4 linked regions of the Notamacropus eugenii genome follow. The protein of the gene in region 2 binds, or shares a complex with, the protein of the main gene of each other region. Links are inferred from orthologs where the notes say so. Each region holds a gene or a part of one and is shown on either strand. Other genes may lie near its edges. The genes, in order: TADA2B, TRRAP, EPC1 and SMARCA4.

The links.
Region 1: TRRAP (region 2) and TADA2B share a complex: the UniProt entries of both Homo sapiens proteins name them as parts of the TFTC-HAT complex. The link is inferred for Notamacropus eugenii from reciprocal best matches to the Homo sapiens genes TRRAP and TADA2B.
Region 3: TRRAP (region 2) and EPC1 share a complex: the UniProt entries of both Homo sapiens proteins name them as parts of the nuA4 histone acetyltransferase complex. The link is inferred for Notamacropus eugenii from reciprocal best matches to the Homo sapiens genes TRRAP and EPC1.
Region 4: TRRAP (region 2) and SMARCA4 share a complex: the UniProt entries of both Homo sapiens proteins name them as parts of the BAF53 complex. The link is inferred for Notamacropus eugenii from reciprocal best matches to the Homo sapiens genes TRRAP and SMARCA4.

The regions. Positions count from the first base shown.
Region 1 is NC_092877.1:58,613,221-58,620,253, reverse strand, and holds the start of TADA2B (transcriptional adapter 2-beta), read left to right. Parts: upstream 1-4,032; 5' UTR 4,033-4,264; coding exon 4,265-4,777; intron 4,778-7,033. Other genes in the region: CFAP184 (cilia- and flagella-associated protein 184), read right to left, coding at 2,166-3,773. UniProt on the Homo sapiens protein: Coactivates PAX5-dependent transcription together with either SMARCA4 or GCN5L2.
Region 2 is NC_092874.1:393,973,804-393,981,068, forward strand, and holds the start of TRRAP (transformation/transcription domain-associated protein), read right to left. Parts: upstream 3,020-7,265; 5' UTR 2,853-3,019; exon of another isoform or gene 2,518-2,852; intron 1,232-2,517; 5' UTR 1,184-1,231; coding exon 1,084-1,183; intron 943-1,083; exon of another isoform or gene 756-942; intron 681-755; coding exon 631-680; intron 1-630. UniProt on the Homo sapiens protein: Adapter protein, which is found in various multiprotein chromatin complexes with histone acetyltransferase activity (HAT), which gives a specific tag for epigenetic transcription activation.
Region 3 is NC_092874.1:72,575,573-72,582,819, forward strand, and holds the start of EPC1 (enhancer of polycomb homolog 1), read right to left. Parts: upstream 3,003-7,247; 5' UTR 2,704-3,002; coding exon 2,551-2,703; intron 1-2,550. UniProt on the Homo sapiens protein: Component of the NuA4 histone acetyltransferase (HAT) complex, a multiprotein complex involved in transcriptional activation of select genes principally by acetylation of nucleosomal histones H4 and H2A.
Region 4 is NC_092875.1:79,002,472-79,009,669, forward strand, and holds the start of SMARCA4 (transcription activator BRG1), read right to left. Parts: upstream 3,003-7,198; 5' UTR 2,570-3,002; intron 2,308-2,569; exon of another isoform or gene 2,033-2,307; intron 1,825-2,032; exon of another isoform or gene 989-1,824; intron 1-988. UniProt on the Homo sapiens protein: ATPase involved in transcriptional activation and repression of select genes by chromatin remodeling (alteration of DNA-nucleosome topology).

The sequences.
Region 1 (7,033 bases), on a different chromosome or scaffold from region 2:
TTTACCCTCCAGCAGTCTGTAATATGTGGGCCGTTATTTACGAGGGAGGGGTGGGGTAAAATGTGTGAAGGATTAAACGAGTTTATTATTGCTTATATGCATACAGTTCTTTACCATGAAGTTTTCATATTCATTACTTTACCTGACAATTACCTCCTGAGAGAATCCTGCCTCTGATACTTTATACCTGTGTGACTTTTGATGTCACAAACTCCCTGAACCTCATTTTTCTCTTTCATTAAATGCAGCAGTCAGCTATGATCTTTGTGACTTTTTCACTGGCTGTCACTTTCCCAACTTGGCCATCTCCTGGGTTCTTTCATATCCCACCTTCTGCAAGAGGCACCAACCTTGCACCTCCTCCCATACCTGCTTCCCCACCCAGTGCTTTTCTTCTGAGCTTACCTCCAATTTATGCCGTATTTATTTTTTCTGCACACACTTGAATGTTCTCTTCCCCATTAAAATGTGAACTTCTTGAAGGAAAGAACTGTTTTTGCTCTGTTTTCCCAACACTTAGCACACAGTAAAAGTTCAATAAATGCTTAACTGACTGAAGTCAAAGAGTTTGCTCCCCATTTTGGAGATATCACTTGGAGGGACTCAAAGAGATGAGGTGACTGTCGCCAAATCACACTTTTGTAGAGTCAGGGTTGAATTTAATGCAAGTTTTTGGACCTGGCCCAGTGCTCTATCTACTACATTGTTCTTCCTGATAGCTAAGTACAATTGTCAATTAAAAATCAACTTCAAATGTATTTCCTCCTGCCTCTACATTTTCTCCACAGATGGAGACTTATTTCCTACCAGCTGTTACAGAGTAGGTCACTCTCGGTATTAATTGTAAGTTTCACTTTCTAGTATTCAGGACTGTGTGCCAATCCATTTGCCTGGATGTATTTTAATACCTTGAGGCAAAGAGAAAAACGTTTGCAAATGAATGGCTTTCCTGAAAGGCTTTCACTTTTCAGGTTCAGATGAACAGGGAAAGAAGAAAGCAGGCCTATAGGTGGGAAGCAATGGAAACTAAGCTACCAATGAAATGAACTATTGGGCTCTGTATTACTAAAATGAGGACAGTGCATAAATGGCATAATTACAAAATGTTTTTAAGATATGGATGGAAAGTCATTAGAAGTTTCAGTTCATCTTTATTAACTCCAAAAAGAACATAAGAAAGTAATACTACCAAGAGAGTGCTTCTGATATTACAAAAAGGAGTGTTCAAAAATTGCAAGACCAAAAAAGTCTAACTTTGAAGTAGAATTTTCCAAACCTTTATTTTGATATAATCCAATTGACATGTTCCTGTTTTGTTTTTTTTTTTTTTGCCATTTATGCATTTCTGGACAAGGTGCAGAAGTTTAATGCAAAATATACTGAATTTATTTATTAAACCATGCCTCTTCTTTCCCATCTTTTCCAAACAACCTAATAACCTCCCTTGATCAAATTGCTTGAGAATCTGAGACAATTAGGAAAAGGAGCCCTAATTTAAGGCTGAGACTAATGCCAGTATCCTTTAGAGAAGTAGTCTTGGCCAAGAAAAAAAAGTATATCTGAGAAAAACTAATTTTTCTGCTAATTATTTCTGTTTTTTTTGTGTGTCTATAAACTACATTTTACAGAATAGTTAAATGAATGGTAGATCTAAAATATTTACTTAATGGTCTTAGTTGAGTGACTCAAAAATTTAAGAAAAAACTTCACTTTATGTATGAGAATAAAGTTAGTTTTCTCTGTTCTACCCCCCTCACTTCTTTTCACAGGAGAGGCTTCTCTGTGTACTTCCTCAAAGTGAAATGAAAATTCTGTAGTGGCTGATGATTTGAAATGGTGGGATAATTCAGAACTAAAGGCTGCTTGTCCTTTATTTCTACACTTCACCTAAGACATAATTTTTAGTCAATCACAGTACTTGGCTTCTTTGACCTTGTTTTAAAATTCATAAGATGTTCAATTCATTTAAAATAAGTTGTCTCAGCTTAGTGTCCAGCACTCATCTTAACATCTGTCAGCTACATATTTCAATATATAGTTTTTTTTCTCTCTTAACTACCACAGGCCTTTTTAAAAATGGCACTGAGTGAAAAATAAGTCCACTAAAGGTTCCTTACGAAAACTGAAAAGGTTTGCTGAAGATTCACATCAATTATTTCTGATGTTCAGGATGGTAGGAATGCTTTGGATTCCTTTATTTTCTGTTTGAGTCCTTTGCAAGAGAGCGTCAGCCCAGCATGCTGGCGCTTAAGTGTTTCTAGCCGCTGGCTGAGCACCTCAGTTTGGTCCACCTTTTGCTCCAGGTCCCGAAGGAGCATCTCTTTGCCCAGAAGTCCGCACTTCTGATGTAACTTGACATTATCAACTCGAAGGCTGTCTCTGGCTTTCTTAGTCTTGGTCAAGATGTCCCTCTTCTGGGCCACCTGAGCATCAATATCCATAAGCTCTGCCTTGAGGCGCCAATTCCCCAGTTCCACAAACTGTAATTTCTCCTTCACGTGGGTGATGATTTGGACGTTGCTGGTGACTTTGTGGTGGAGCTTTAATAGCTCCTCGTTGCGTTCCTCCACCTTCTCGTTGAAGGTCTGGTTCTCTATCTTGAGCTGCTCGAAGTCGATGAGGTGCAGCCCCTCCGTCATCTCCTCCTGCGCCTTCATCCTGGCCTGCAGGTGGCTCAGGCTCTGCTTCAGCTGCACGTTCTCCAGGCGCACGGCGCTCATCTCCTTCTCCTTGCGGTCCTCGTTGGCCTGGATCTGCTCCACCTCGCGCTGGGCCGCCGGCTTGCCGCCAGCCACGCGGCAGCTGCCCATGGCCTGCAGCATCACCTGCTTCTTGAGGGCCTGGAAGGCCTTCCACTCCTTGTCCACTTGGGCCAGCTTGTCCTGGCAGTGCTGCCGCAGCTGCTCGAGCTCGCGCTGGTACCACTCCACGTCTTGGCCGTGCTGCTTCTTCAGCTCCTCCAGCGAGCTCAGGTAGCGCTGGTAAGCCTGCTCCTTCTCGGGGGCGTCCTGGTCCGAGGACGTCTTCTCCACCTCCACGCCGGGCTCGGCGCTCTTCTTCTTGCGCAGAGCCTGGGAGATCTTGTGCTGCAGGTGAACGTTGTACTGGTGGATGCGGTGGCGCTCCGACAGCAGCCCGTGATACTGCTCCATGAGCTCGGCGCGCAGCTGCTGCTCCTGGAGCTTCAGCTCCTCCTCGTCGGGGGCCTCTTCGGCCTCCTCTTCCTGCTCGTACAAGTCCTCGTCCCTTTCGTGGGACTCCAGCGACACGTAGCTCTCCCCGTCCTCTCCCAGGGACTGCCTCTTGTCCTCCGGGATCCAGTCTTCGTCGCGGCCTTCGATGGATTCCGGGAGTCCGGCCTTGCTGGTCTCCCCGGCGTCAGAGATCGACGGTACCTCCTCCGCCGCCGCCTCCCCTTCATCCTCCTCGGCTTCTCCCTCATCCTCCTCGGCTTCTCCTTCATCCTCCTCGGCCTCTCCCTCATCCTCCTCGGCCTCTGCCTCATCCTCCTTGGCCTCTCCCTTATCCTCGGCCTCTCCCTCATCCTCCTCGGCTTCCTCGGCCGCCTTCGCCTCTTCCATGCTTCCCGGCTCCATCTCCGCGGGCTCGCCGTGCTCGGCGCCCTCCGACGGCGCGGCCATCGAAGTCATTTCCTCTGGCCCCACGCCGTCCGGGTTCCCTGCCTCGGGCACACCCGGCACCTCCACGCTCATTTCCTCCGGAGCTTCCAAAGGAGCCTGGGCCCCCTCGGGGCCCTCCTCGGGCAATTCCATCCCTTACCCTTACGTCCTCACCCCTCCTTCTCACACAGCTAACTCGAGGCAGGGGAAAGGAGTGCGGGGAATCCTCGGCTTCTCCTCTTCTGTTTGGTTTCCCGGGGCAACCAGAGGCGCTGCTGGCGACGAGGGCGATTGGGTTGTCTCCTCCTTATTCCGCCAATGGGAGGCCAGGAAGGCGCGAGAGCGTGGGGGAGGGCCGACCGGGCGGGGGCGGGGCGGGGCGGGGCGTGACAAAAGAAGCCTCGTCGCTGTCACCTCACCCCCTCCCTCCTCCCTCGCTCGGGGATTGGGAGCGACCTGGAGAAGGACGCAGGCGCAGGGAAGAAAAACGTCAGGAAAACGGTGGCGGGGGGGAAGAGGGAAAAGGGAATGCGCAGGCGCAAACACCAGAACTGTCTTTCCTCCATAAGGGTCGGGGGCGGGAGGAGGTTGTTAAAGGGTTTCACGCTTGCGCCGGACGCCCACTGGGGCTAAGCGCCTGCGCGATGCGGAGGAGGGAAGACGGCGGCCTGACGGGGTCGGATGGCGCCTGCGTACTGAGACGAGACATTCGGCTGGCTGGCTCCGGCGGCTCCTGGGCCTTGGCCGTAGCAGCAGCGGTGGCGGCTCCGGCAGCCGCGGCGGGCGGCGGCGGCGGTTGTTCCTCGTACCCGCCCTCGGCCGCCGGGGGAAGTGGCGGCGTCTCGGTGGGCGGCGTCGGCGGGACCGTCGCGGGCGAGCGGGGGAAGATGGCGGAGCTGGGGAAGAAGTACTGTGTGTACTGTCTGGCCGAGGTGAGCCCGCTGCGCTTCCGCTGCACCGAGTGCCAGGACATCGAGCTGTGCCCCGAGTGCTTCTCGGCCGGCGCCGAGATCGGCCACCACCGGCGCTGGCACGGCTATCAGCTGGTGGACGGCGGCCGCTTCACGCTGTGGGGGCCCGAGGCCGAGGGCGGCTGGACCAGCCGCGAGGAGCAGCTCCTGCTCGATGCCATCGAGCAGTTCGGCTTCGGCAACTGGGTGAGCGCCGCGGCCCGGGGCAGGGGCCCAGCCTTCCGTCCCCGCCAGGGATCCTGTCCCCCTCCCCCTCCGCATCGCCTTGTCATCCCCTGCATCCCTCTCCCTCCCCAGCCCCTTGTCATCCGTCCCCCATGCCCCCCTCCCCCGCACCTTGTTACCCCCCAACCTCATCGCCTTCACACACACTCCCTCCCGCATCTTGTCATGTCTCCCCCTCCCCACCTTCTTATCCCTTCCCCTCCCCAGGATCTTCTCATCCCCGTCTCTCTCCCCAGGACCATCCCCAACTTCTACCTCCTTTTCAATCTTCTTGGCCTCCCATGCTCCTGGCATTTGAGTTGGCAGGACCCCAGAGGTCGTCTAGTCTACTCGTACCTCAGCAAGAGTCTGAGCGAATATCCTGGTCCTGAGGCCCCTGTGGGAAGAGTCACGGTTTTGAAGAACTCCCTCCCTCCTGGGGCAGCTCAGTTTCCCCAACATTTTGATTGGGGGGGGGAAGGCTGGGTGTTTCCAATGTATTTAATGAAAATCTTCAATGACTTTCACCCTATTGCTCCTAGTTTTCTCTTTTCCCTCTTTCATGCCATAATCTTTTGTATACTTGAAGATACATATTGTCGCATCTTCTCTTGGAACTTTTTCCCTTGGAGTTAAAAGGGACCTTAGATATAATTTTTTCTAGGAGAGTTCACTTCTTTAAGAAGTGGCCTCTAGAAGAGAAATAAGGTGCCTAAGGCCACACAGGTAATAAGTGGCAGAACCCAAGTTCAAAGCCAGATCTCTCTGACTCCAAAATCCAGTGCTTTTTCAGTCCTACCATATTCTTTTCTTCCTGAGAGACAGGAGGGGACTGAATGCTCACAGAGGGCACAGTGGGAGCTGAGTTCTGCACTCCCACAAAAGGAAACGGTATTCAACCAGATAATTTAACAGAGTGTATTTTCCCCAGTAAATTCACTCTTTCCTGTTCAATGAAGCAAACCATGTTCATAGGAATTGAAGGGTTTTAGAAAAGAAAAAGGGCTTTGGAGGTCTAGCCTAAACTCATCCCTTCTACCCCCCAAGCAGTTGTCTTCCCCTCCCTGACAAAGTCATTATCCATTATTGAACACCTCCAGGGACAGAGCCAGTTACTTCATGGGCACATTGATCTAGTCAACAGAAAATTTAACTGAGAGAATGTTACTCATAAAATACTTTGCATTTTAGTTCTCTGCATTTCAGAATACCTCTGATACCTTTTATCTTTATCTTCAGAATATCACTTTCCATGGAGAGTGGCCTATGATAGAAACAAGAGTAGAATACATTTTCAAATTACAGATTGCAGTTGAGAAATGCTTCAACTCAGTTGAGTAAATATTTGTTAAATGGCTAGCCTTGTTTTAAGTAGTAGCAATATAAAGGTTGACTAATTCCAAGAGTATTACAATTCAGTTTGCATATTCCTTGACTTAAGAAATTAGTGACTCAAGAATGGCCCTTCAGCTCTCAGCGTCAAAAAGTTCCTTTAAAATAATTTGTCAGAAGAGCGGACATATGAGAATCATCCTTTTCTATTTATCAGAAAGTTATAATTAGGGATACTTGAGAAAATCTTGGTTTAATAACAAGTGTCATTCTTTTCAGTTTACATACAAGTAGGCCCTTAATTGGTAAGGCCTCCTCCAAAAGACCTACTTATGATTCTCAGCAGAATTCCCTCAGCAAGATGAAGGGTTGTGCCAGTTTGTTATTTCTGCTTCTGTAAGTATGAATGATTCAAATCTGAAGTGTAGCTCCCTGCGCAAATTCTGTTAGTCATAATGTTAGCCAGGTTTTGGTCATGGGTGGGAGCACATAAGGGGTTAATTCAGTTACAGGTATACCCCAGATGACATTACTTGTTGCTGAAATCATGTCAGAGTTTCATAGGAACAGTGTTATAAAAGTGTTAGGGTCAAAGCATCCTGATTATGAGGGATCGTCTGATTTTTATCGAAGGCACAATCTGTTTAATAATATTACAGTGGGTTTGTGCTAGGCTGCAAATGGGCTTTGATTATATACCGTATTATTCACATTTTTCTGAGACTTTGCTTGTCCAGGCAACGTAATAGAGGGTATACCTGTAGTGTTGCAGGTTTTAGTTGGGCTTCTGCCTCCAGGAATCATTTTGCCTGTGGCCATTCACGTTTGGCTCCTCTCAGGTTGCATCTATTTAGAAGTTCCTTTTATATTTATCATGTAAATGTAAGTTAAAACCTTTTTGATACT
Region 2 (7,265 bases):
TCTGCAAAGGCTCAAAATGAAGAGATGAAAGTTCAGGTATAGGGAAGAGTGAGCAGGCCAATTCCACTGGAATACAGAGTATAGGAAGAAGAGTAACCTAAACCAAGAGTGGAAAGGTAAACAGCAATCATGTTATGGAAGGCTTTAAACAGCAAGCTGAGGATTTCATTATTTTATCCTAGAGATAACAGGAAGCCACGCCAAGATTTCTGAGTAGGAAGATGACATGGTCAAATTTGTATTTTAGGAATATAAATTTGGCAGTGTGGAAGATGGATTGGAGAAAAGGGAAGACTGGCAGCAGGGAGATCAATTAGGAAACTACTACAGTGGTCTAAGCAAGAGGTGATGAATACTGCCTTAAGACTAAAGGCAATATAAGTGACGAAAAACGAAAGGATGTGAAACGTGATGGAAGGAGAAATGTCAAAATTTGGCAAATTGGTGTATAGAGGGAATGATGACCAGAGTCATGGATAAACCCAATGCTGGGAACATGGGTGAACAGAAGGATGGTAAGGCCCTGAAAATAAAAGGGGATATGTCACCAAATATACTTCTAAACAGATAAAGTCAAAACTAAGAGACTATGACGTAGGCTCAAAATAGAAACAAAGTTTTACAACATACCTCAAAATTTTCACTAACTTCTTGCATCATTTTCAGTTTTGTTTCATCCGCTATAGAAAGTGAAATATACTCAAGTTACTGACATTTTTTTTAAATCCTACAACTTTAAGGTTTACTGTAAAAGAGAAGCAATCAGATCTTATCAGTTTGAATATCATGGCCCTCTATAAAAAGGCATATAACTAGGTCCCTATCGCCATTCATACCCAGTCATACATCCAGGCACAAGTGCGCGCGCACATACATTCATATACAGACACACATTTGCCTCTTTGGGGCTCCAACCAATAGTATCCATCATTTTGCTTCCCTACGAAAAGGGAAAAGGAAATGTAAAATGAGCTTTAATGCCATCATCATTTATCTCACCATGCGTTCCAATTTAATAATGGAACAAATAAGTCATATTATGATGTTTCCTAAAATGGCAATGAGTAAAAAAAATCAACTTACGTGTATTTACATCTGTAAGAGCAGCCACAAACTGAAGGTATTTTTTCATCAAAGTGGTTTGGTCAACCACTGTGGCTGCGGGTGTTGCAACAAATGCCATTTTTCTTTTTTAGTTTGTGTTTCTTAGAAGAATGGAGTCAGGGCCAACCTATTTTTACAAAAAGGCACACATATATATATCTCAGTTTTCCAAGGACATATGCCTATAAGCATCCTAAAGCTTAATTCTGAACGTGCTTATTTCAAAAATTTCTGCCTATAAACCCCAACATAAAGCCATTTAATTCATGATTTTTTAAAGTCTTTTCACCTAAATTCACATATTCTGCGACCCTTAAACATACGCAACGTGTAGCTTTTTTCTTCAATGTCCATAATTCCTCAACTTTAAATGAAACTGGGGAAACATCTTCTAAGTCACAAAACTCATTTCCCAAGATCAGTTAACTTTCAGGCCCCTCTCTCCTGTTCTTTTCAGTCAGGAAGTATGTGTACTTAGAGAGAAAAGAGAAGATGTGGCTCTCCCTGTGACCCCAAAACTCTCCCTCAGAGATATGGGAACAAAATGTCACTTGTGTGGATCCGTTCTGGTCCCAGAGACACCGCAGAGGGGGCACCCCCGGATCACACAAGCCCAGAGTCTAGCAAAGTTATTTGGAAAAGCCCCCCCAAACCAGGTTTTTCTCAGAGGCTCCCAGGAGCCACAATAAAGCGGGTCAGGTAGTGACTCGGCTCTGGATGGGGTACTGTTTTCCAGGAGTGCTTGGATAGTCGGGTGCCCCAAAGGGCCCCTCCCCTTCTTCCTATGCCCCTTCTCCGTCCTTCCCCCCTTCGCCTTCCAGAAAGCGGCCGGGGAGGGGGGCGGAGCCTAACTCTAGAGATGGGAGGGGGGTCAGAGGTAAGCGGTTCCTCCAGGGCCCACTTCCGGGTACCTTCCACATACACACTCCCGCCTCCCCTCCCCCCTACCTCCCAGTCTCCTCCGGAAAACCTCCCAGCATCCCCTGCCTCAGGCCTCCCAAGCCCGAGTAAGCCCCAGACCCTCAGACAGGACTCCCTAGCCTGGACCCCCGCCCCGCCCCTTGTACTACAACGCCTGCGGGGACGCCTCCGCGCCAGGTGGTGGCGCTGCCGCCACAAACCTGCAGTCTCTCTCTTCTCTCTCTCGAGCTTCACGCCGGGAGGCGAGGACTGGAATCTAGACGCCTCCCCTCCGCCCCCGGGCCCTTCCACAACATCGGAGAAGGCGGGGCAGGCACCTTTTCCCAGCCCCAAGCCCAAACGCTCCTCAGGTTCCCTTCTTTGTTGCAGTACAGGAGGGTTCGCCGTTGCCCAGGCCGGTGCTACGGTGCCCGTAGAGGGTCAAGTACAAAAACCGCCTCGGCCTTTCCCTCGTTCCGCCCCATACCCCCCCCCCCCAGCCCTTTACCCTACCTAGGAGTAACATGAAGATGTAAACCCTCAGAGTAACCCCCGGCCCAGTTTCTGCCGAAAGTGTATGAGGAAGTGGGAGAGCGGGCTCTCGTTCGGTGCCCCAGGACTCTTCCGTCCCAGTATCTCCCTTAACTACGTCCGTCCGATGATAGAAAGGCCTCCTGGCTCCCATGCACCGGGGCTCCGGACGGCCTCTCCCGCGCACGCGCCCAAGAATCCCGGCCGGCCGCACAAGGCCCCCTCCACTCCACCTCCCACCCCGTGGAAACACACTCCCTCCCCCGCAGCCCCCACCCCCACCGGGGAACGTTCGGATGGAACGTTTGCTCCCTCACCCTGAGAGGCTGCAGCTCTTCCTGCAGCACGCAGGCCCATGGCTCCCGGAGCAAAGCTGCCGCCCTGCGGAGTCCCCGCCCCCGCTTAAAGCGACAGACTCTCCCCCTGGGCTGCCCCCAGCGCGCGGAGCAGCCAATCAAAAAGTCTGTGCCCAGATGCAGCACCAGTCAGGTGTCACCTACGGGGAACTGGGTGCGGCCTGGCTCGAAGCTGTAGGGGGCGGGGAGGAAGTACCCTCAGGGTAATTGACGTCTCACTGGAGGAGTGAAAGGGTTCTGGGACCTTCTAAAAAGTGTAAACATAGGCTCCTCCATTTAAATGCTTATCGCTCAGGACCCTAGGGAAGGGACTAAAAGTAATCCTTGCCACATCCCAGCAATTGTCTTGCCCACAGATACTAAGTATCTTGTTAGCTTGTCAGTTTCACGCTTCCAACAACAGAGCAGTGCCGCCAGTAGATAATTATGAGTAGGTAGCATTTCATTTCCTTAATCTTCCCAGTTTATTTTCTCACCTCTGGTGGTAACAAATCCAAAGTGTGTGCATTGGACTGGAGACTCAGGTTTGGGAGGCACTCCCTGCCTGAAAGATCTTTCACTTTGGATTAAGTTGTGGTTCAGTTCTGTCTGACTAACTCAATGGACCCCTAGCACTACAGGTCCTGCTATCCTCCACTATCTCTCCAAGTCTGTCCAAGTGCACTGTTTCCATGACGCTATTTTTCATCTCATCCTCTGCCATTCCCTTCTTTTGCCTTAAATCTTTTACAATATTAGGGTCTTTTCCACTGAGTCCAGTCTTCTCATTATGTGGCCAAAGTATTTCCGTTTCAGCTTTTGTATTTTGACCTTCCAGTGAATAACCTGAATTAATTTCTTAAAGTATTGACTGATTTAAACTCCCTGATACCCAAGAAACTCTCAGAAGTCTTCTCTAGTACCACAATTCTAAAGCCTCTCTTCTGCAACACCCAGCTTTCCCTAGAATCCCAACTCTCACAGCCATACATTGCTACTGGAAAAACCGTAGCTTTAACTATACAAACCTTTGTCCTCAAGGTGATGTCTCTGCTTTTTATTATACTATCCAAATTTGCTGTAGCTTTCCTTCCAAGGAGCAAATGTCTTTTAATTTCATGGTTGCAGTCCCTGCAGATATTTATTTGACATTGCTTGCATTTCTTCTCCCTCTATTTGCCAGGAAGTGATGGGACTAGTTGCCATGATCTAGTTTTCTTTTTTATGTTAAGCTTCAAAGGAGCTTTTACCCTCTCCTCTCTCACCCTGAAGAGGCTTCTTAATTCCTCTTCATTTTCTGCCATCAGAGTATTATTATTTGCAAACCTGAGATTTTTTATATTTCTCTAAGCAGTCTTAAATTCAGCTTTTGATTCATCTACCCTGGCATTTTGCATGATGTCTTGCCCACCAAAATGGCATCACCATTGTAAAGTGAAATTTCAGTGTGTCCAACTGTGGCTGATCAGATAGTTCTTTTGAACATTTGGGGTGGATATCCCAAATTTGCACATCTTGCATTTACTTCGTGCTGTCTCAATTCTGCTTTGCTCAAAGAGCACAGCACCTTTTATGTGGGCATGCCATGCTGAGCAGTCCTGTAACAGTGTCTCCCATTGCACAGTCAAATCCAAAGTTTTTGAGAGATACTTTGAAAGTGTCCTTGTATCACTTCTTCTGACCACCATGTGATTGCCTGCCCCATTCAGGTTCTCCATAAAAGTCGTTTTGGCAAGTGTACATTTTGCATTCAAACAACATGGCCAGCCCATCAGAGTTGTGCTCTCTGAAGCATAGTTTGAATACTTGCCAGTTCAGCTTAAGCAAGGACTTCAGTGTCTGGTACTTTATCCTGCCAAGTGATCCTCAGAATCTTCCTAAGACAGTTCATGTGGAAGCGATTCAGCTTCCTGGCATGGCGCTGGTAGACTGTCCATGTTTCACAAGCATATAACAATGAGGTCAGCACAACAGCTCTGTAGACCTTCAGTTTGGTAGTCAGTCTAATGCCTCTTCTCTCCCAAACCTTTCTTCAGAGCCTTCCAGACACTGAACTAGCTCTGGCAATGTGTGCATCAACCTCATTGTCAATGTGTACCTCCCTGGAAAGTACGCTACCAAGGCAAGTAAACTTATCCACAGCATTCTACACTTCTCAATTTGTTGTAACGGATGGTTCCACATATGGATGGTGTGGTGGTGGCTGATGGGGCACCTGTGTTTTTTGGGTGTTAACTATTAGGCCAAAATTAGCACAGGCAGCAGAGAATTGATCCATACTTTGTTGCATCTCAGCTTCAGAGGCTGTATTGAGTGCACAGTCATCTGCAAACAGAAAATCATGCACCAACACTCCCTCTACTTTGGTCTTGACTTGTAACCTTTTCAAATTGAAGAAGTTACCATCAGTATAGTAGTTGACCTTGATGCTGTGTTCATTCTCACTGAAAGCATTTGTCAACATGGCTGAAAACATCATGCTAAAAAACATGGGAGCAAGCACACAGCCCTGTTTCAATCCATTGGTGACTGAGAAGGCACGAGAGCTTTGTCCATTATCCAGAACCCTTCCCCAGTAGCATGTTGGACACCTTCTGACCTGAGGGGTTCATTTTCCAGTGTCATGTAGTTTATTATTTTAATATTGTTCATGGGGTTTTCTTGGCAAAGATACTGAAGTGGTTTGCCATTTCCTCCTCCACTGGATTACATTTTGTCAGAAATCTCTGCTATGACCTGTTCATCTTGGGTAACCCAGCACAGCATAGCTCATAGTTTCACTGAGCTACACAAAACCCTCCACCATGATGCAGGAAGGCATTTGGATTAAGAAATTTCTACCAAATGTAACATTGCCTCTGTTTCCAATTTTAAACAAACATCCATGTTTCTGGGGTTATCCTCCTTAATTTGTTTCATTGAATTTTGATAATTGCAAAAGCATTTGGAAATAACTGGTGTCCAACCCAGAACTATATTAAAGGATTGTTTACCAAGTCTATTGTAATACCCTTTACAATAATTAGCTCATTTTAAGCCTAGAAAGCAATATAATCCCTCTTCTGTCACCCTCCCCTTTGGTTCTCTTTTCTTTGGATTTAGAGAGTTTATTTTAGATGAACCATTTTGAATTCAGGTAAAGTCCTACCCAGTGAGGAAAAATTCCTAGCCAGAACTTGGTTTCTCTGCCTAATCTTACATTATTGGATAGAAAAAAACATATATATACTTACATATATAAATATGTAAAATATATGTGAGAAATGTATACATGCAAGAAAGTATATATGTATGTGTATGTATACATATACAAACACATATATATGCATGTATATGTATGTATAAATGTTCATTTTTATTGTTTTCGGTTGTATTTGATTCTTTGTGATCCCGTTTGGGGTTTTCTTGGCAAAGGTATTAGAGTAGTTTGCCATTTCCTTCTCCAGCTTATTTTACAGATGAGGAAACTGAGACAAATGAGTAAAGGACTTACCCAGGGTCACCGAGCTAGTAAATGTCTGAAGCCAAATTTGAACTCCAGTCCTCCTATCTCCAGGCTTGGTGTTCTATCTACTGTGCCTCCTCACCACGCATATATATATATTCATATACATACATATACATATGTGCATATATACAGATACAAGAGTATTATAGGGAGAAGAGCCAAGATGGTGGAGTAGAAGGACAGAGCTGTAGAAGCTCCCCTCCATATCCCATAAAATACCTGTAAAAAAATGACTCTAAACAAATTCTATAGCAGCAGAAGCCACAAAACAACAGAGTGAAAGAGATTTCCAGCCCAAGACAGCCGGGAAGGCCAACAGGAAAGATTTATCACGCTGGGTGCAGAGCAGAGCGCAGCCTGGCCTTGGTGGTGGCACAGCAGGGACAGGACCAAAACAGACCTCAGGCGTGGAATCCCCAGCAGCAGCTGCAGTTCCCAGATTGCTCAACCCGCAAATATCAAAGACAGTTTCAAAGGTCAGTGAGAAAGCTCTTTCACCTGCATGAGAAGGGAATGAGTCTAGCCCCACCAGCAGCAGCAACTGCAGTGGCAGCCTCTATTTTTGGAGCCCTTGGCTTAAAGCCCCTGGGGGAATTGAGCAGCTGATCTCGATCTCAGCCCTGAGTGGCTCTCTTGGGTTGAGGAAGAGTGCTAGTGTGGTGGAGCTGGAGGCAGGTGTGGAGAGGAAATTATACTCGCAGATCATGGGCAGAATAGAGTGCTTGTGGTTGCTCACAGATAAGAGCACAGGCCAGGAGAGGAGCAAACTTCTCTCCCTTGATTGTGCCACCTTGGAGGAACTGAGAACTTACAGGTCCCCAGAGTATACCCTCCTTTTGAAAAATACTCAGAACTCAAGTAATTGGCTGGGAAAATGCCCAAAAAAG
Region 3 (7,247 bases), about 320 Mb from region 2:
CCACCATTCATTTAATGAGCATGGCTATGTAGTAGTATATTTAACTGACCTGTATTTGCTGGAATCATTTTGCTTACATTTACAGCAGCAGTATGTTCCTAGTCTAAGTGACAGATTTTTGATAGGTTTAATGGTAAACAAAACTCTTTTCAGATTACCAAGTAAATCTACATTGTTTCTTTTTTTTTTTGTCATGAAAATAGTACTGGAGGGTCCCAATTCAATTTAACCTGTAGTATCTAAGCGCCTAAAACTAGATGTCAATGAAAGATTTTTCTCACTTCCCCATATTATAAAGGAATTTAAAAGCATAAGATAAGTGCTGATCACTTAAGTGTTTGGTCTAGGGGCTTAATATGGAAACTAAGACCTGAAGATCAAGAGTAGCTCTGGTATAAAATTTCTTTTAGTGGCTGTCATTTCCCCTCAGCTTGGCTTCTTATTTTAACATCCATTCTCTCTCTGGTTAGTGAAATCTAACAAATTTCGAATTGTAAATGGAAAAAATAACTTAAATGGTAAACAGAATTTTGCCTTCAACTACACATATGCAATACATACATCAAATCTACAGAAATGGCATGTTGCAACGGATGTAATTTCCCTCATAAATTTGAAACTTTAAATGCAAAATCAAATATACTGCCAACTTAAGCAGTCAGTGTCAAGACAAGCAAAACTGAGCCACTCCTGGAAATGCCTAAATTTAATTCACAAGACATTCCTGAAAGGATTATTACCTATGGAGTAAATAAAGCAATGAAGGGTCTTTCTTCTTGGTTCCACCACAGAGCTACTTGCATCTAAACAGGTGTAATACTAGCATCTACTAACCCCCTCCCACAACAGATAATTTTCAAAGCCTACATACAAATAAAAATAAAACAAAAAGACAAGATACTGCGGTCACAAGTATTTTAATTTTTTAAAATCACTTATCCAAAACAAAAATTGCACTATTCTACTCTAAAGTTAACACAAGTAAAAATTAAAGAGGTTCTGTCTCACAGAGAAGGTGCTGAAAGTCAGTGAAAGCTTCACGCCTCACACTACACTAGGTTCCTTCAGTGCACATGAAAATGTGATAGATTTGACACTACTCTTTCAAAAAAAGTTAACATTCAACCGATACAACTATTTATTAACTTTCTAAGCAACCAAAACAATTTCATCAGTTTTTATTGTTTGAGTAACATTACAATGAGCAATCACCACCATACAATTCATCTTTCATGTTACAGTCCCAAGGAAAGTCATTGCAGTACAGTTACACACAAGTCTGTTAGAAGCACTGGGCTCTAATGGACAACTGTTCCACAAACTGCGGTATTGTGTGCTTCGTGGACTTCCTGGAATTGTCATTACACTGCACCCTGTTTTAAGTGGCTGTACCTGAAAACCAAGGTATGCAATTCCTTAGGATTAGAAGGCATCAAGTTATGCGGTGAAAAACGAGGGGAAGGCGGGGGAGCAGAGAGGAGAGTCTAAGGAGCCTCCCCTCAGAACCCAACTTTTTAAAAAAAGAACAGTTTCTGCTCTGCCTGTGCTTCCATGAAGCCCAGAACAACAACAAAAATACACATGGTAAGTAGGCAGCAGGAGGGACAACGTTCCGAACCCAGAAACTCGCCCCACCGGAGCCCTGGCACGGAGGCCGGGGGTGGCACCACCCCCGCGGGGCTCGGCCGCCTCCGCCGGCCCCCTCCTCGCGAGCAACGAGCCCTACGGCCCAGACAAACCTGCAGCCCGTTCCTCCGGGAGGCTCGGCCGGGGACGAGGAGCCATGGCTTTTACCCGCAGCGCTCCGGGGAGTGGGGAGGGAAGAGGCGACCCGGGGCCGGGGTCCTGGGCTCGGATCTAACCGACCTCCGGCCTGGCCGCGCAACCCCGGCCTTTCCGAGGGGCTCCCGGGGACGGGACGAAGCGGGGCGCAGTCGGTCCTGAGAATAAACAGGAGCTCCGGGGGCCTGCAGTAAACACGGGCCTCCCACAGGCCCCACGTGGGAGCTGCCTAGAAACGGAAATGCTTTCCCGGCCAGAGCGGCCGAGCACAATCCCCGAGCGTGCGGCCCGGGCGACGGCAGCGGCCAGAGGGCCCCGACGACCTGGCGGCGCCACCCAGCGGCGAGCCGGGAGGCCTGCAGGCGGGCGCTCCTTCCCCGCTCCCCCCCTCCGTCGCCCCCCCCAACCCGTTCCCCTCTCTCGCTGCACAAGGCCCAACCCAAGAACTAAAGACCACAAAATGGCTGCCGGCCGCTTCGTCACGTGACCCCCTTTGTGCCTTTCGGGCCCCCGAACCCGGCGGGTCCCGGGTGGAAGCGGCCGAAGGGGGGGGCGGCGGTGGGCAGCGCCGGTGCGGGCCCGGCGGGGCCGCGGCGGGCCGGGGGTCGAGGCCGAGGGAGTCGGGGTAAAGGCCGGGCCGGCGACTGAACGTCGGCGGGGAAGAGAAGATGGCGGCCATTTTGTGTGGGGCTGACTGCTCCGTGGCCGCCGCAGGCAGCAGGGGGAGCGGGGCCTGGCGGTGGGTCGGGCGGGGGAGTTTACACGTACCGACTCCTCTTCCTTCTCCATTCCGGTGGGCATCTGCGGCACGGCCCGGTTTATCGAGGCGTATTCGTGCAGATCGGGCAGATCCTCACAGCGGAAGACCGGCAGCGGCTTCGAGGCGTCCAGCGCCCGCGCCCGAAACGACAATTTACTCATCTCAGGCGCAGCAGATACCTCTCCGCTCTGGGGAAACGGCCCCGGCCAGCGGGATCATGGAGAACCCGGGGCTCGGTCCCCACTCGCCTGCCGCTGCCGGGGACTGGAGGGGCGGAGCGTGGGGCCCGCCGTCCGGGCCCTCACCGCAGCCGGGAGGGTGGGTGCCTGTGCCGCTCCGCTCCGCTCTCACTCGCTCTCTTCAATACGCCATGGCCAACATGGCGGACATTAAAACTCCACTGTGCGCTCTTCAGCCAACCCCAGCCATTCCCCACACTGCATCGCGCAGCGGCGCGGGCACGCGGCGGAGGGGGGGAGCGCGGGCTCGAGGCCGGGCGCCGGCACGGACTGCGCGCGCCCCCGCCAACCCCTGCTCCCCAGGCTGGCTCCGGCTCCGGCTCCGGCTCCTGGCTGCTCCCGCCGCCGCCGCCGCCGCTGCCTGCTCCGCTCTCCTCCCCCCGGTCCTCCCCCGCCCCGGGGCCGCCGCTCCCGCCCGACGCGGTCCGGAGGGGACCGCGCTGCCGGGACCCCGGGCTGCCCCGCTCCCGGCCGAGGCTTCCCGGAGAGCCGCGGGAGCGCTGGGGCCGGTCGCCGCCGGGCTCCGGGGGGCCCCTGCCATCCCGGCCGCTCCTCCAGCCCGGAGCCCCCCGTCCCGGAGCCCCGGCGCCCGCTGCTGCCGTGGGAGGGCAGCCGCCGAGAGCTCGATGGTTCGGAGCGGCCGGGGCGCGCTCCTGCAGCCGGGCCGGCAACTTGGGGGGCCTCGGGGAGAAAAGCCCGGCGCGACGGAGGTGGCGGCGCGAACACGCGCGCACACACCCCCTGACACACACACACGCACACACCCCCTGACACACACCGACACGCGCGCACACACCGACACACGCGCGGGCGGGCGCGCGCCCCGACACCACTCGAGCTTCTCTGCAAACCAAACGGTCGCGAAGTCAGCGCCGTCTACACGGGCTGCCCTCGAGGAGCCGCCCCCCTGCTGGGGGGCACGGCCCTGGGCACCGTTACCCCGCCGCCGCGCCGGGCTGGGGCGTCAATATTAAACACCCGGCTGCCCCGCGCGAGGCTTCATTCTGTTTTATCTGCAGATGCGGGGAGGTAGACGCACATGGAACCGGACGGAGGAGGGGAATCCTGAACGTAACCGGGACGGGGACGTTCCGAAAGGGTTTCCTCTTTGCCGAAGCCGGGACCCTCTCCCCCAGTTGTCCCGGTGCTGGGGCTTTCGCGAAGTCCTGATTCCCCGCCGGTGGTAGAAGAAGAGGCTGTTTCCCGAGTGGCCGTGACGGACGGTCATTCGTCCTGTTTAGGAGGCTTTCTTCTAAAACATTTTACACACATTAAATAAATGCCATTTGTGGCAAGGGTCGTAAAAGACGTTCTGCAGCTGAAACAGCAAGAGCCCGAGCGCCTCTAGTCATTTATGAATGAGACGCAGGCGAACTCGTCTTCTAAGGGTTATTCCAGACGCCAGAATAGGGATTCCAAGAGCCTTCCCAGTTTAAAATGGTCCGGGATGGGCTGATTGGTCTTGCAGAGAAATCCCCACATTCACTCCACAAAAACGTCTTCTCAGTCCATTTCCCCCGGCTGTACATCCCACATCACGTCAAGATAAGTACGATCGGTCGGCATCGTTAACCACTGGCTGAGGGCAAATGGGCAAATGGGCAAATTGCTACCTCCTGGCCTGGGTTAGCTCTAGCCCATCCTGGGGACAGCAATAGCCGCTACTTCCCTCCAGCGGGAGGATGCTAATATAACGAATATTGATTCAACAAACTTAAGAAAGCAGAGTCAGCTTTCCCTTCACTTTATACAAAAATCCTTCCTCCTCCAGAAACAAATATGATGACTCCTTTAGACAGGTAAATCCCCTTAAAACAGCTACTGCTGATTCCCAAGTATATACCCCACAAATATATACAGAATATAGACTACATGCAAGGCGCTTCATACGGGTTACGTAAAATACAAAAGCACCAAGGAAAGACACTTGCTTTCTGACTGAGCAAATCACTTCTCTGTCTCCATTTCCTCATCCATGAAATGGATGAACTGTGTTATCTACCTCACAGAATTATTATGAAGGAAATTCCTTGTAAATATATACATGACAGCTATTATACCAAGATGAGAGAGACAATCTCTGACTTCCAGGTGCTTATGACTACTCTAGTAGGGGAGATAATACAACACACAACACAAGGCAGTAATGAGTACCATGAGTACAGGGAAAGGATCACTTTAGACCAAGATAAACTTGAATGGAAAAGGTAGCATTTGAGCTTAGTTTTGAAGGATACATAAGGGGTCAAGAAGTTGAGCTGTGGGGATGAGATCAAGGATGTTTGCTTATGGAAGAAAGGAGCAATGCATGTTTGGGGGAAAGCAAGAGGTCTGATCTTGTTAGAGCGCCATATCTGGCTAACTGCTCACAGGTAAGTCTAAAAAAGAGTTATATCCAATTTCAGATAGCTTTGAACATCAGGAATTTGGACTCGATTTGGTTGTCACTGGGCATCTTTGAGCAAAGGACTAATGTGACTGAAGCTGTCCTCTAAGAAGAATAACTTGAGAAGTGGTCTATGGAAAAATACAAGAGAGAACGTTAGGAGGGTAATGGAATAGCGTCTGCTCTAAAGTCGTAGCACTGGGAATGGAAAGGAAATGATGAATGATTTAAGTGATAATCCTCATAAGTTATGAAAAAAAATCTAAACCTAAAACATTAATTCTAGTTCAAAACTGGGATTTCTGCTAATATTAATGAATAGTAAAGAAAGAAAAAAAGAGTCAAACCAACAGAACCTAAAGACAAGTACCCTCATATGTGTGGGTGTATATATGTATATATGTGCACATGTACATATATACATACATACATACATACATATATATATATATAAAACCATGCTTACAATGTTTACACATACACCCAATCTGTTACCAGGTCCTGTCATTTACTTCTTCAAAATATATCTACAATTCATGATACAATTCATTCTCTCCTGTCCCACTGTCATCCCACTTAGAAGTCCACAATAGACTTCCTGTTTTCCCTATCTCTACCTTGTCCTCTTGCCAGCCCATCCAACAATATTCTCTCAATCTAATATTCCTAAAATACTACGTTCGTTGTTCTTCTGCAGATCAAATACCTACAATGACTCCCCTACAGACATCCTGCCCTAACATCGAAAAGTCATGCTCCTCGCTGGTCAGGACAATCAGTTTCCTGCCATTAGCATATGCTATGTTCATTCTCACCTCTGGCAATCCCCCATCCTTTATTCCTCAGTCTCCCTTTCAAAATGCTTCTTGTCCATTGCAAGTCTAACCTCCATAGTGAACCAATGACTTTTTCTGGGCTTATTTCCTTATCAGAGGAGAGGGTTACACTTTTATTTCCAAGATTTCTTTCAGCTTGAAAAATTCAATGACAGACTGATAATCTCTTGTATCTCTGAGCTCCTATTACTTGTATAGTCAGTTGTAGAAAACTTTTTTAGTTGTCTTATATTTTATCTCTGCAACTAGAATATGATAAGCTTCTGGAGGGCAGATGTCATGTCTTCTATATCTTTTATATTCTCCCAAAATGTCTAGCACAGGGCTGAGTACACAGTAGCACATTTGTTAAATGCCTGTCAATTGACTGATTTGCATATATATATATAAGCATATGTTATATATACACACACTTTAAATCTTATCACTATTTGTAAAACCCTAGTTTATGGAAAATAAAATCCATCTTTTTTTAAACAATGCCTTCCTCCTCTAAAATCCCATGATGGACTAGTTTGTGAAAATGTAGACTTCTTCCCACCTCCAAAAAAAAGATTCTTAGGGAAATTGATGCTCCTAAAATTAAAAAGTTAATATAGCATGTTAGTTGTAAAACACTTTGTGACTGTAAAACAATAAATACTTTAATAAGTTCTCCTTTGAAGGAAAGGCAGTTAACTTATTGTTTCATATTTTATTCCTGAATGATGTAGTAATCACAACAAGTGTACCAAAACTGCAGTTTCTAAAAATCCTTTTGAGAGGGTCATGGGGCTAGCCTAAGACATCTTAATTATAGTTAAATTTCCATTGTTAATGTTGGACAAATCATTAAGTTCTCTGGGTCTTTTTTTTTTTAATTTTCTAAAGAGGAAAAACACTGACCTCCCACATGAGATGCCTATGAGTGTCCATATTAATTATTACTAGCAATAAAATGCTTTGAGTTCCTCTGAGATAAAAAGCTGTCTAAGTACAAAGCACTTTATTTTATATTACTTGAAGACTAAAGTTGTGGTGAAGTTAAAAGTCAGTGAAAAAAGTTTCACTTAAATTTAGACCAAAAAAATCAGGAGTGATTGGGTATTTTCTGCTACTTCCAAGCCTAACCTTCATTTTTTTAACTCTCAAACTGGTAAATGAACTTATCTCCATCCTGCTAGTCTTGCAAGAAACTGATGAAAAAGAAGGTTAATAGAGGTAAAGACCAGCGTAGTAATGTTTAATGCGGCTATTTCTAGGTG
Region 4 (7,198 bases), on a different chromosome or scaffold from region 2:
CATTATCTAATACTATAGTGCATCAAAACCAGAATATTAATCATTTCCCAAAGGAACCCTGAGTTTTTCCACCTCCAAACCTTTGCTCAAGCAGGTCACCCTCTCTAGAATGTCCTCTTTCCAATATCTGCCATAAGTTTATAAGTTCTTCAAGGCTCAGCTCATATTCTACCTCCCCAAGATATTTTCCTTTCTCACTTGGGAGCTAACTCTCTTTTCTCTGAACTCCTATAAAGTTCCTTGTATCTTGTATCATAGTTCTACCATGTCTTACTTATGCGTTTATCCTCAAACTATCTAGACTTTAGTAGCTACACATTAAAAACTCGTCTAGTGAATGAAGGTGTTGCAACAGATTATATCTAAGGCAGACGTTCTTAACCTTAAGTATTAAACTTGTTATAAAAAATTTTTTTGATAACTGTATTTCACTGTAATTGAATTGAATTTCTTTGTAATCCTACGTATCTAAAAACACTATTCTGAGAAGACAGAATGCCAAAAAGGGTCCAGGACACAAAAAAGGGTTAAGAACTCCGGCCCTAGGCCTGTTCTAGTCTTAAAATTCTCTAAGATGATCTATCACTTCAAAAGGAAATAAAAAATGGACAAGTAGTAAGATTTTCAGTTTCCTCATCTGTAAAGTAGGAGGGTTAGTTTACTCTATATGATCTCTGAGGCCTTTTACAGATCAAAGTTCTGTATGTTGCAAATTTATATAGTCCCTATTATGTGCAAAGCACTGTGCCAAGAGTTTTTTATAAATATCATCTCACCTACAAGTTGAACTTATGTTTTTACTCTTTCTGAAAGAAACAAAAGATCAACGGCGCCTTAAAATGAAAACTCTCACGAAAGTAAAACATTATACCTAAAATCTGGGGCATCAAAGCACTCTCATAGAATATTTACATTTCTTTAAAAAAAATTACACAGAACATAGTCTTGGTGAACAAAGATTTAAAGACACCAAAGTTCTTTCTTTTACCTTTCGGTGACCCATTCTCGTTCTCTTCATCTCACAATCGAGATTCTGAAATAACTTCATTATTATGGCCATTCGAAAACGTAAAACAAAATTTCTTTCCACAAAAAAAAAAAAAATGGGGTGACACGAGCTGATCTTTTTAGCTTGGCTGACTCAACACCAAGGGGCTCAAAAAGCCCTTGACTCCGCAATCATCCAACATGTTCTGGTCTTTCTACTTTATTTTTTAAAAACCACTGTGCTCTTGGAGAGGAGGTGCGGCTCACTCCCGTAACTAGAAGAGCAAGCTCCCAAAGTGTTTCTAACAACAGTCTATTGTTAAGGAAGAGGGAGGGCTCAAACAACAAAGGTCCTGGACCCTTCCCCACGCGGTGTTTGTTTGGAAATCCTCCGAGAAATTTCCCGCGAGGCGCCCGCTCCCCATTGCCTCAGCTCTCGGGCCCACGCGAGGGAAGCACTTCGGGCCGCGGAGCTCCTCACCCGGCGTGCTCTCTCTCACAATCACACGCGCGAGCGCGCGCACACACTCTCTCTCTCTCATTCTTCTCGCCCCCAGCCCCTCGGAAGGAGGGACCCTCTGAGCCAGCCGGAACGACCGGCGCTTAGAGATCCGGGGGTGGGCACGTGGGGGTGGGCAGAAAGGACCCGCGAGGCTCAGAAAGGTGCCCACGGCGGCGGCGCCGGGGGGAGGGGAGGTGTGAAAGAGGAAGCAGAGGGAAGGGGGGCCGCAGGGTAAACTGAGGAGGCCGGAGGCGGGGGCTGTCCGTGAGGACCTCGGTTATAAGCGGCCTCTCCTCCACTCTCCCGCTCGCCGTCCCACCCCCCAGGCCCTGCCCAGGCCGGGCCTAGCCTGGCCAGCCCTTCCAGCCCGATCGCAGACTAAGAGCGAGCATCGGAGGTTTCTTGACCCCGCGGCGCCACCGTAGACCCCGTGCGACCCAAGGCGACTGTGTGGTCCTCCCCCTCCCCCGCTCCCCCCTCTCCATTCAAACCAACCGTCCCCTCCCTTCCCCCAACGCCCATCCCTGGGGCCTGGTTCCTTACCCGGACCTGGGAGGAGCCGCCACTGCCGGCAGCCCCGCGTCCCCAGCGCTCCCCCCTTCTCTACCGGGGCCAGGGCCCGTCGCTGGCTTTCGAGTCCTCCCTTCTCCACACGGAACAAAGACGCCGCCACCGAGCGAGGGGAAGCTGGTGCGCGCGCCCGCTTCTATCCCGCGCTCGCTCGCCCGCCGGACGCGCCTCCGAGGCTGCACCCCCCCCCCTCCTCCGCGCGCACTGGCCTGCCCTTCCCCCACCCGGCCCAGCGGCTCCTCGTGCGCGCCTCGGCTACCCAGCCTATCTTCCTTCTCCTCCTCCACTTCCCACCCTTCCGTATCAGGGAGGCGGGCTGCGCACGCGCGCCCCGCCTCCTCGGAGGCGTCGGGAGGAAAAGGGGCCCTAATCGGAGGAAGACCGACCGAGGAAGAGGGCGCGCTCCCGCACACGCGTGCGCGTCCGCCATCCCTTTGGACAGTCTCTCCCCGAGAGGCACGCGCACGTGCACGCGCACGCTCCCAGAGCCTCGCTTCCAGTACCCCTTACCTTGCCTCCTTCCCCTTGGTGCCTGGGCCCCTCCCTCACAAACGCCACCTCTGGCCACGCCGGGGAGCATGCGCTCTGGGGGCGCCACTGCGGCGAAGGGAGTGGGGCGGGGCGACCGGAGGAGGAGGAGAAAGGCGGGGAGGGGGAGGGGGAGTGAAAAAGAAGGGCCGGAGACTCGGATGGGGGGGTGAGAACGAGGGAGGGGCAAGGAAGGGGAGCAGGAGCATGAGGAAAGGACTGGAAAGAGCGGGGATTGTGGGGAGGGGGCAGCGTGGCCTTTGGAGTCGGAGGCCCAGGCTGTGCGCCCCACCCCGGGTGACCTTGGGCCAGTCACAGCCTCCCTGAGACTTGGTTTCCTCGTCTGTGGAATGAGGGAGTTGGACTGGCCTGGGGGAGGGAGGTGAGAGGGGGCCGAGGGAGCCGTGGCCCAGCCGGGGCTCGTGAGGGTGTGGAGAGGGTTCAAAAGCTTGTGGGTGGCCGGGAGTTAGGAAAGAGACTGCCCCCAGGAGGGTTTGGGATAGTGGCTAGGGTAGATTTGGGGTAGATCTGGGAGAAAGAGGGAGTTAGGAAGTGTCTGCGCAGCTAGGGGGTCAGGACTTGTGGGGAGTTGTTATGGAGGTGTGTGGGATCAGGGTGGATCCAGCTGGAGTTTGTGAGAGAGCTTGAGGCTACGTCTGGAATGCGGGTAGAATTCTGAAGAGGCTGGGGGGTGAGAAGTTTGGGGATGGCAAAGGAGGGAGGACAGGACCTAGGGAGCCATGTGGGGTGGATGGAGCAGAGGGAGAGGGAGGGCTCACGCAGAGAATACTTTGTTAGGTCCATCAGTGGGAGGGAGGCAAAAGAAAACGGGGGAATGGACAGAGCCTCCTAAGAGGGCTTTGCCAGAAAGTTTCTGAAGGTGAAAGGACTCTGGACAGTGGTAGTTGGCAGGAGGGAGGGTAGAGAGAGCAGCTGTGGGAACTGCAGGAAGGCCCTTTGGGAGTGGGCAGAGTGAATCTAGGGATACTCCTTTTGGTTTGAGAAGTTTCAGTCATTTTAATAAGAGGCATGCCAGAGGGGAAGAGAGCCCCAGCACAAGAGAGAACAGGTGGGGTTTCTTGGAGAGAGGCGTAGGAGAGAAGAGAAGCAGCTTTGGTAACAGGTTTTGTCACAAGTTCAAACAAATCCACTCTGAACTGAATTAATAGTGCCTGACGCCTTGTACTTAAGGGTGTGTTTCAGAATCACCTTTATCTCCTCTCATGGTGTGAGAGATGCTTATTTAACTAAGGCACCAATCATCCGCTTGGCACCCCTAGCACATGCACCTGCTGGAGCAGGCATCCAAGGGAGCTCCTATCACAGCCCCTCCTGAGTGGGTGGAGTAGGACGCCTCAGAAGTGTTCAGTGACAGAACCCTCTGGTGCAACCTATCTAGCCAAGTGTTTGACAAGCTGCCTCTCCTCTCAACAGTATTTTTAGTAAAGGTCTCAAAGGAAACAACAACAGAAACTACCTCACTGAGCTGCCAGGAGGATCACATGAGACAGTGTGTGTGAAGCGCTTTACAAATCCGAAAAGCACTGTGAAAATGGCAGCAGTTGTTAGGTCATCGAGCTTCAGAGCTGGAAGGGATCTTGGAGAAGGAACATTTAGGCCAACCCCCTCATTTTACAGGTGAAACCAGTACAGAGAAGGGAAGTATTCCTTTAGCATTCCTTGCCTTTTGAAATTGCTTTGTGTGTGTTTGCTTGTGTACATATAGCATGTCCCCTCCTTGAGAGCAGAGCTCACTTCAGTGTTGTCTCATAAATGCCTAATAAGTGATATTTAATAAATGTTGGGTTGCATTGAAAGCATCCTGAAGAATTTGAAGCCGTACTTTAGCACAGGTTCTACCTGCACATATTGGCTATCCAGTTTGGGAGGGAGTTGTTGAAACGCTTTCCCAGCAAGTTAGCAGTGCCCAGGAGAATTGATAGATCTATCTAGAGCTTTTCGTACATTCAGTGTTTAGACTTAAAAGACATCCTGGATGGCCTCATTAATTGTTCTGATCTTTCCTTGCCTTAGTGGGGAATACAATGAGAGGTAGCTCAAATTGAATGTGAGGTAACTAGGACACCACACCTCAGCAAGGTTTCCTGCTTCCTTCACTGTGGGTAGTTCTGTCTACACAGGTTGCAACCTCCTCTATGCTCTAGTAGACTTATTTCATGAGTTGCTGTGACCAAAAAAAAAAAAAATAGGTCACCTCGTGGACAACCATGTGAAAAATAACCCCTTCCATACTCAGCTGGGCTGGCAGTTGGATGAGACTGTATTCAAAACCTTCCCAATATGCTCAGCTGGCATATCCTCACCATGATGACAGATTGGAATAGGACTTGAATAGAAGACTGGACTCCTACCTTCCCCACAAAAAACTCTTATTAGTTTATCAGAAAGCAGTAATCATGCTGGAATGTTTTTCATTTATACTGGTGAAAAGTTGACCACCTGAATAATTAACTTCAGGGGGAAAGTTTTGAAAGTAGAAACTGTCTCCAAGACCTTTTTTACTGGGAAGACTAATCATTTAATCAAGCTCTTCCAAGCTTCTTCTGCATAAGAAGTTCCTAGCTTATATATCTAATTTATATTCATTCATATTGCTGTCCTCAGAGATGAGCCACAGCTATTGAGTCCTTGCGCAAATCACTTTATCTGTTTCCTCTTTATAGTGATGGGGACTACTAATTAGAATGTTGTATATATTTTATGATGTGGTCACTATTTGATGTTTTTGCTTTTCCATAGGGGAGAGAAAGGACCACTGGAAGAGTAGGAGAGACAGTGAAATGGTAGACATAAAGACAAAAACCATTAATAAAATATTTACAGTTAAATAAAGGAGAGTCTTGGACTAGGCAGATGACATTTACATAGTTCCTTCAAGTGTGCAAAGCATCTGAATATATATTCTCATATGAACTTCACAACTGTCCAGTGAGGGAGGGAGAACAAGTCCCCATTTTATGGATGAGAAAACTGAGGGTCAAATCACCTGGATGACTGGTCCATAGTCACAAAGCTACTGGGATCTGAGGCAGGTTTTGAACACGTCTTTCTGACACTGGGCCAACATACTAGCCACTGTTCACAGTATCTCACTGTAGCTTAAGGCCCTTGTCAACACTAAGTCTTTTGATCCCATTTCAGCTACTTTGTTACTCCATTTCTTCATTTCTATAATTTCTAACATTTTGAGAAGGGAGATTTTTGAATATTTTCAGGTTTCATGCTTTCTAGTTAACGAGAAGGGCCTATGCTCTTTTCCTGTCTAGTAAAATGTAAGTTATGTGAGAGTAAAGGCTGTTTTTATTTTGGTTTTTGTCTTCCCACTGTCCTGCAAATTGATAAATAAAAGTTTGTTGGAGAGAGGGAGGAGGGGAACGGTCTGTGGAATGTGTTGCAAGAAACCTGCAGTAACTGTAATTGAAGTACTCTTTACTTGTTTCTAAAGCCCAGAGCAATAGAGGTATTAGGATATAGCTCTGTATTATTATTGAATTACCAAGATGTCAACTTAAAACTGACAGCTAGGTAGGTGGCTCAGTGGAAAGAGTGCCAGATCCCAAGTCAGGAAGACTCCTCTTCCTAAGTTCAAATTTGACCTGAGACACTTACTAGCTGTGTGACCCAGGGCAAGTCATTTAATCCTGTTTGCCTCAGTTTCTTCATTTGTAAAATTAGCTGGAAAAGGAAATGGTTAACAATCATAGTATTTTTGCCAAGAAAACCCCAAATGGGATCACAAAGAGTTGGAAATGACTGAACAACTTAAATTTATACTATTACTTTTATACTATATGCTATGAGCAACTAACTCTAAAAGAAAAAGTTTATCATAAATTTTATATTTATTCCTAACTAGTACATTTAGGGTGAATGTCAGGCCCTTCAAGGTACCATCTCAGGATTATTAGCAATTATCATATTTAATTTGGCTTCAGTCTGGATAGGTTAACACTCTCTTCATGAATGAGTTTGTTACTTATATTTTTGAGTAAACATTCCATTTTCTTATGCATTTACCTATTAAATTTATATAAAAAGCAAGTGTATGAGCAACTGATCTTTACAGCATCATGTATTCTGAATACAGTATTATTTACTTTGATTGATTGTCATAATTTTTTTTTACACTGAGATTTTAAATGCTGGCCTTGGGATAAAAATTATGATAAACATTCATATGGAAATGAGATTAAATTCTACAAAATTACAACATTATAGTGATAACTGGCATTTATAAGGTGTGTTCTATGTGTCAGATATTTTATAATTATCTCATCTGATCCTCACAACAGCCCTGGGAGATAGATATGATTCTCATCCTCATTTTATAGATGAAGAACCTGAAACAAACAAAGGTTGGTTTACCCAGGGACACACAGGTAGTGAGTTGTCTGAGGTCAAATTTAAACTCAGGTTTTCATGACTACTGGACTGGCACTCTAATCCCTTAGGCTCCCGAGCTGTCCCATCAGGAAATTTTGCATTTTCTCTGATATCTTTAAGCTGCCATGTAGAGAAGGCAGAAAGATACTCTAGGCAGTATTTAGGAGAAGCAATGGTTAGCATATTAACCTAAAATTAATTCTACTA